Nothobranchius furzeri: one gene and its partner. The main gene of each other region encodes a partner of the protein of the gene in region 2 in a complex. Links are inferred from orthologs where the notes say so. Each region holds a gene or a part of one and is shown on either strand. Other genes may lie near its edges.

What was found. The genes of interacting proteins can lie anywhere in the genome.
Region 1: ints2 (region 2) and ints12 share a complex: the UniProt entries of both Homo sapiens proteins name them as parts of the integrator complex. The link is inferred for Nothobranchius furzeri from reciprocal best matches to the Homo sapiens genes INTS2 and INTS12.

Annotation. Positions count from the first base shown.
Region 1 is NC_091746.1:80,674,728-80,679,026, forward strand, and holds the start of ints12 (integrator complex subunit 12), read left to right. Parts: upstream 1-1,497; 5' UTR 1,498-1,624; intron 1,625-1,879; 5' UTR 1,880-1,887; coding exon 1,888-2,043; intron 2,044-3,068; coding exon 3,069-3,218; intron 3,219-3,430; coding exon 3,431-3,612; intron 3,613-3,724; coding exon 3,725-3,884; intron 3,885-3,963; coding exon 3,964-4,113; intron 4,114-4,299. Other genes in the region: gstcd (glutathione S-transferase C-terminal domain-containing protein), read right to left, coding at 710-1,123. UniProt on the Homo sapiens protein: Component of the integrator complex, a multiprotein complex that terminates RNA polymerase II (Pol II) transcription in the promoter-proximal region of genes.
Region 2 is NC_091750.1:42,350,883-42,354,426, forward strand, and holds part of ints2 (integrator complex subunit 2), read right to left. Parts: intron 1,369-3,544; coding exon 1,243-1,368; intron 162-1,242; coding exon 1-161. UniProt on the Homo sapiens protein: Component of the integrator complex, a multiprotein complex that terminates RNA polymerase II (Pol II) transcription in the promoter-proximal region of genes.

The DNA.
Region 1 (4,299 bases), on a different chromosome or scaffold from region 2:
GAGCTCCCATCATCACCTTTGAGGGGACACAAAGCCTCTGAACTGCAATAACTGAGAGGTTCGCCTTTAGTTTTTAACTCAATAAGATGCTATTAATGCAATTTTACATTATGATGTAAAAATTGCACCTCCACGTCAGAAATAGACCAATATATTTGTTGGCCGACATATTTTTATAAATCAGCATCAGCTGATACACCCGTTTAGAGGGGCCGATTTAAAAACTGAAACAGCCACAGGCAGTCCAGTGCTGCTGCAGGATTTTATTTAAATGTGCGTGTGTGTTCCTGATCTACTTAATAAATGTTTAAAAACATTCTTCTTAACTGAAGTATTTTTTGTTTACCCGTTTTTATTTAAGACTTGGTCAGTTTATGATTTGTTCGATTACCTTTGGCTAAATGTTTGATTTTAATACGAGCGGTGCAAAAAAAATTAAGATACAAGAGTTGTTTAAATTCAGAGTTCAACAACGGATCCATGTTCAGAAACGTTGTGCATCATGTTTTTGTCAGTGACATCTAAGCATGCAAATAAGGTGGAAAATGTCGAGTTATCGGCCGCGAACATCGGTAGCAAATATCGGCCATCAGCTGACCATGACCCCCATATATCAGCATCAGTATCAGCATCTGAAAACCCCATATCAGTGGATCTCTACACCTGATTTCCCCAGACACCCAAAAGCTGACGCTTGTCTCCCACTGACCTCCGCACAGGCCTTCAAGCAGGTTTTTTTGAAACCCAGCAGCTCCAGAACATCCTTCCTGGAAGGGTCTTCCTCAGTGGTTTTGATGATAATGTGCCTGAGCACCACGGCTAGTCCTGCCCTGCACAGGCGCCCGCTCTCATCCACCGCTGCCGGGAGACGGCAGCTCCTCACCAGCTGGGGCAGATCCTCCAGCTGGACCCAGCTGACACCAACAGGCACTGGGAGCTGGCTCCTGAAAGCGTCCGAGCAGCTACTGGTGTAAACCATGAACACTTTGAAGGACTTGCACTCGCAGTATGATAGGAGAAACATAACTATGGACGTGTGCAGGGGGAGACGCAGCTCCTCGTTCTGGGAACAAACCTCTAAGAAGAGGGAGAGATGTTGCTCTTTTTTCTCGTTGTGCTTCATTGTAAATAAACTAGAAGGACAGTAAAACAATCAGTTAGTTTTATCATTGTTTTAGTGTTCTCTGTTGGTACTTTTACGTCTAGATTACTTAAATTCAACATATGACCCAAGAAAAATGACTTACCTGAAACAGGCGGACCGGTGTGTTTTGGTGATTCTTCTTCTGCTGTTTTTTCACTAGCATAGCTCCACAGCGCCGCCAGCGGTCTTCTCAAACGTTTCAAAACTCTCTTCATGAAAGAGTAACACCTATGTACAAAATATGTACCGCAAAGGAAAACATACGTGGGATGAATACTTATTTTATTATAACCAAAATAGTATAATAACCACGCGAACGCGAATACAAATTTCGCAAAACGTTCCGCCCTTGCAGACTCCGGACATATTTGTCGGTTACTCAAATGTGAAGACGAAACGCCGACGGAAGTGTTGCTCAGTTTTCCGTTGTTCAATAGAAAGAAAATATTCCGGTAAAACAGAAAATACACCCAGTCTCGGGTAAGCCTGTGTTTATGATAATTATGAGCTTCAATTTTAGAATTATAAAGCGACCTCGGTAACTACCGCGGTGCTTCTGTGGTTGTAGTCCGTCTTCCTGTTTTTACTCAGAAACCAAATATTTGCCAATGTTTAAAGTCATTCACAGCAGTTGGATCGGTGGGACTCGGCTTATAGGCGCCGGCAGTTCTTTTTACTTTGATGAAATGATACTAATTCACAGCATTACGTGAATTGTTATTGTTTGATTTCTAGTGGAAGCGATGGCTGGACCTGTCAGTTTGGAGCTGGATCCCATCTTCCTAAAAGGACTGAGTTATCTACATTCCAAGAGCAAAGATTCAGCTGAGAAGCTCAAAGCTCTACTTGATGAGTCCCTTGCTAGAGGCAGCGATTCCTCTTATCGCTCTTCACAAAAAGTAAGATAATTCATTCTCATATACACTCACCTAAAGGATTATTAGGAACACCTGTTCAACTTCTCCTTAATGCAATTATCTAATCAATCAATCACATGGCGGTTGCTTCAGTGCATTTTGGGGTGTGGTCCTGGTCAAGGCAATCTCCTGAACCCCAAATGCCACGGGCTACCTGAGCATTGTTTCTGACCATGTCCATCCCTTCATGACCACCTTGTACCCATCCTCTGGTGGCTAATTCCAGCAGGATAATGCACCGTGTCATAAAGCTCCAGTCATTTCAAACTGGTTTCTTGAACATGACAATGAGTTCACTGTACTACAACGGCCCCCACAGTCACCAGATCTCAACCCGATAGAGCATCTGTGGAACGGGAGCTCCGTGCCCTGGATGTGCATCCCACAAATCTTCCATCAACTGCAAGATGCTATCCTACCAATATGGGCCAAGATTTCTAAAGAATGCTTTCAGCACCTTGTTGAATCAATGCCACGTACAATTAAGACAGTTCTGAAGGCGAAAGGGGGTCAAACACCGTATTAGTGTGGTGTTCTTAATAATCCTTTAGGTGAGTGTAGAGAAATCCCCTTAAAGAGCAAGTCACCCCCTACCAGAGTCTTACTCCACTCCCACTTCCTGTTTGAAAAATGCAACAAATGCTGTTACCTGGCAGACCGAGGGGGTGGAGCCACTAACAAATACACACACAGGCTCACAATGACTTTGTGACATCATAATGTACTTCTTAGACAATAGCAATGGCAGAGTTTTTACCTGAAGACGACGTAACACTGACAGTTTTAGGCAGATTATTTAAATTTATCTAAGATGCACCAAAGTGCCAAGTTATTGACTACAAGTGTCTACAGCATGATTAGACACTCATTTATATAGTTTATCAGCAAGAAAGAAATTTGGGGGGGGGGGGGGGGGGGGGGGGGCTGACTTGCTCTTTAATGTCATTCGTATGACATTGTTTTAAAACCAAGTGCTTGTGCCTTCTGTGTGATTGTTTTGTCCTCAGGAGGTGGAAGTGTCAAAGGCATCCGTGTCAAAGCTGAGTTTAAGTAAAGAGCCCAAGTCTTCAAGTTCTTCTTCTGGCAGCAGCGGTGGAAGTAGTAAATCCAGCTCAGAGAAAGGCAAGAAAGAAGGCGAGAAGAGGTCATCAGAGAAGGTGTGGAAGACATTTTTCCAATTTTTACTAATGATCCCAGTAATCTGTGTCGTGTTGCTGTTCAATTGGGAAGTAAAAGTGCACAAATGAATGAAAAGTGCATATTATATAACTCTAAAGCTTTAAAGCAGAATCCGATTTAAATATGTGATCAGGTGTTTTTTGTTTGTGTGATTTAGTCAAACTTCCTTTTGTATTTTGCTGAAAAACAGGCCAGGGTTGACGTGAGCGAAGTGGACCCCCCCAAAAAGCCTCGTTTAGAGAAACAAGAGAACCGCTCCTCTCCAATCACATTTCAGACGAGCAAAGACCTCCTACCAAACATAAACGACTACGACGAGACAAACGCTGACGACTTTGCCATGGAAATGGGTCTGGCCTGCGTGGTTTGCAGGTACGAGTAGCCAATCGTGTAGATTTGTCAGCATGTTATTCCCTCAAATTAATCAGATCACCATTTTAAGCAGAAATTCAGTCTTTTTTTTTTAAATAATTAATTCTCTCAGACAAATGACGGTGACCATGGGAAACCAGTTGGTGGAGTGCCAAGAGTGTCATAATCTCTACCACCAGGACTGCCACAAACCTCAAGTGACTGATAAGGAAGTGAATGACCCACGGCTTGTGTGGTATTGTGCCCGTTGCACCAGGCAAATGAAACGGATGGTGAGGAAAATCAAGTCACGATCCTGCATCACCTTTTTAATGATGAACTAACTTGTTTGTTTGTTTGTTTGTTGACCAGGCTCAGAAGCCTCCTCAGAAACCATCCCCTGCATCTGCATCTTCAGCACCGGTTGTTAAAGACCCGCTGGTGAAAAAGACAGAGCTGAAGGCTAAAACCGATACAACCAGCACCTTCCAGGCCTTCAAGAGGACAGAGGTGAAGGTGTGTGTGAGTATTTTAATTAAAAATGACATCCTCAGTCTTGTTTCTACTAACCAGTAAGGGGTTTAGAGGTAAGAAAAGCAACAGGAACAGTTCCTTTTCTTTCCTTAATTGTTTAGAAGATTTGTTTCTGCGTTTGGATTCAGACAATATGGCAGTTTTAGTGTCAAATATATTCAATCTTATTAGTTT
Region 2 (3,544 bases):
CCTCAGGTGTGTCCAGCTGACCCGATCCCGTCACACTAGAGACAGTCTGGCTCTGTCGCTCAAAGTCGGCCGTCTCCTTCAGGTGACTCTGCAGATAGGCTTTGGAGGCCAGCAGGTACCCATTAAGCATGTGAAGGACGATGTCCATCAGGGGAGGACACCTAAGAACAAGATGAGTTTATTTGTTCTTATTTAGTCATCTAAATAGCAAGTCATTTTGTTTATCCCTTCATGCTCTATATTATTTTATTTTTATACATCATAAACTTAAAACAATACAAAAATACCCTGGTATGTTCTGAATTATTCCTGCTTCTTCCTCTGGGGTTCCTGATTTATTTCAGATCTTAAATACACTAAATGAGTCTTGATGATCATTTAATTATCAGTTGCATTCACATAATGATATCAGTGTATTAATAAATGAATGTGTAACAGATTTGCTCCATATACTAAATGAAATGAGCTTTCTAAGCATCACAGAAAGGGCAGTGCCTGAGTGTCTTGGTAAACGCCTATACACACTTCTCAGATCAGGTTGGTCAAAGTTTACAAACAACCATTTCATTAAAAGTGAACTCACTTCCTGTTTTAGCCAGTTCCGCCAGAGCTTCGTCCAAAGCTCACAGCTCATGCTAAATTACCATCCTATGGGGAATCAAACCAGATTTTTCAGTGGAACAATTGTACAGGCTCAACCGAGCTTCTCACCCTATCTCTAAGGGAGAGGCCAGCCAACATGCGGAAAATAAATAATTTCGGCCGCTTGTATCTCATTCTTTCGGTCACTACCCAAAGCTCTTGACCAGAGGTGAGGGCAGGAACGTAGATCGAACGGTAAATTGAGAGCTTTGCCTTCTGGCTCCGCTCTCTCCACCACGACAGATCAGTACAATGTCTGCATTACTGAAGACGCAGCGCCAATATGCCTGTGGATCTTGCAGTCCATCTTTCCCTCACTCGTGAACAAGACCTTGAGATACTTAAACTCCTCCACTTGGGGCAGGACCTCATCCCTGACACGGAGAAGGCATTCTACCCTTTTCCGACTCAAGACCATGGTCTCAGATTTAGAGGAGCTGACTCTCATCCCAGCTGCTTCAAACTCTGCTACAAACCGCTCGAGTAAAACCTGGAAATCACATTCTGATGAAGCCATCTGGTAATGTATGATATAAGATATGACCATATTTCCTGATATGTGTATTTAGCTTTGTTTGAGCTTGTAGCCAGTCTGGTTACCTGTACACCCTCTGGTCACAGCGCAGCACAATCAGAGGATCAATCATCAGGTCGTTCTGGGTGCAGGTCTGCTGTTGCTGCAGAGTGGCTGATGGTTGGAGGGCGTTTACAGTCATCACCCACAATCTGAAACAAGTCCTCATGCTTTACACACTGAAATATGGGTAAACAAAGTTAATTCAAAGTATCTTGAGGTAACAGGAACATGAAAGCAGAGGAGGGGAGCTGGATCGGTTGGTTCCTGGGTTCTGGATCAACAGTACTTTAGGTTAGGAGAGAACAATGAGTTGCAATAATCCATCTCAAGATCACTTTTTGATTAACATTCTGAGCTTAGTGACCTTCAATAAAACCTGGGTAGGTCAAAACCATCAAAAGACATCAGGGTCGACTTGAGGGATGATGGACAGGATTTAGTACACGTCCATATGAATGGCTCATAAATTCAAGTACACTTGGCTGCAACTTCTAGCACGGGGCAGGGCATGGGATATGGCCAAACTATATCATATATGGAAATGGTGCAATTTCTTTCCAGAACTGAAGAGGGCGCTATTTCCAGCTTCCAACCATGTTTTTGATTTCTATTTAAATTAGATTTATAACGGCCACGAAACACAATACAATTACAACTAAACTTTCGTAATTTATTGATTTTACTTCTATTCCACATTGTTTTTCAACACAAGGGTGTCCTAACATTATTAAATGAACCCTATTTAAGTAGTAATATGAGTTTACAACCACTGTAGTTCAACTTTTATCTACTGAGGTGGAAAAATTGATGAAGGGAATTTCAACAAATTTTTTTACCCCCAACCCTTTTTAATTCACTCTCATTTCAAAACAACTAAAACCTGGAGTCAAATATTCTACATAGATAGCAGTATCCTAAAAACCAGTGTGCGATTTAGAAGACCTTCATCAGATTTGTGAAAGCCCAATTAAGGCCTATTTCAGCACATTTTCTGCATTTGCATCACATTAGAACTGGTCCAGCCCAGAAACTACAAGGTTAATCTAGGCTCTTCAGAGCTGAACTAGATTATTTTACACTAATAGCAGAATGTGTAATTCAGTTTTTGGTTTGTGGAATTTTCTTTGGTGTACTTTATCTGATTTTGTAAATCAAAAATAATAAAACAATGAAAAGACAGTGAAGTTCATTGTAGTTCACAAAGGTGCAGAGGAATTTAAGGTAATGCTTCCCTTGGGTTAATATTCCCCACCTTAATCCATTTCATGTATTTTTTTAAGGTGACTACTTCTTATATGAAGTTCTAGTTTATTTGTATTGTACATACTCCTTACACATTTGAATTCACACACACACACACACACACACACACACACACACACACACACACACACACACACACACACACACACACACACACACACACTATATGTGAAACACTGTATACTAATAAACAAGTTTTATAACACGCAGAAGCATGTATGTATTCGCATAAACCAGTAACATTTATCACTTTACACAAGACTAACACATTATTAAACTTACTCAATATATTACATATAATGAATAATTATAATGAATAATGAGAAAGGTAAGTCTATCGTATTTCAACAAAAATGCACAGGAGCACACAGAGCAAGCAACTAATGCTAGCACTGGCTCCAGCAAAGAGGTGTTCAGGGATACTCAGAAATATGGCAGCTTACATAAAGTCTTTCCAACAGGATCGATTTTTGAGTTTTATGAATAAATTGTGCATCTTTATTAGTAGGAATCGCGATTCGGACATGAATAAGTGTTTTCAGGCATCTCTACTGGTTTGGATCGTTCAGATTTTGAAAACTTGTGAACTTTTGAAAGTTCCATTCCTGTTAAGGTCCTGGAACAAGTTGATCATTCACAGATTAAGACCCATATGTTTCAATCTACGTTCAGACTACACAACAGCACCGAGTCCACTCTGATCGGTGTGCAGAATGACATTTTGGTTGCATCTGATTCAGGGCCCTATGTTTTGCTGCTGCTATTAGATCTCTCAGCAGCTTTTGATACATTTGACCCCAAAATCCTATTAGATAGTCTAAAATACAGGGTCGGTCTTTCTGGTCCTACATTGTGTTGGTTCCATTCTTATTTGGCAAACTGGTTATTTTGTGTGCTGACTGGGTGCCGCAGGGTTCTGTCCTGGGGCCCCTTCTGTTCCCCATCTATCTTCTTGAGGGGTATGGCATAGGCTACCATATTTAAGTTGATGATTGTCAAACATACTTGGTGAAGAATGCACTAAACACAGATTTATTGCTCACAGATTGACTCTCTGATGTG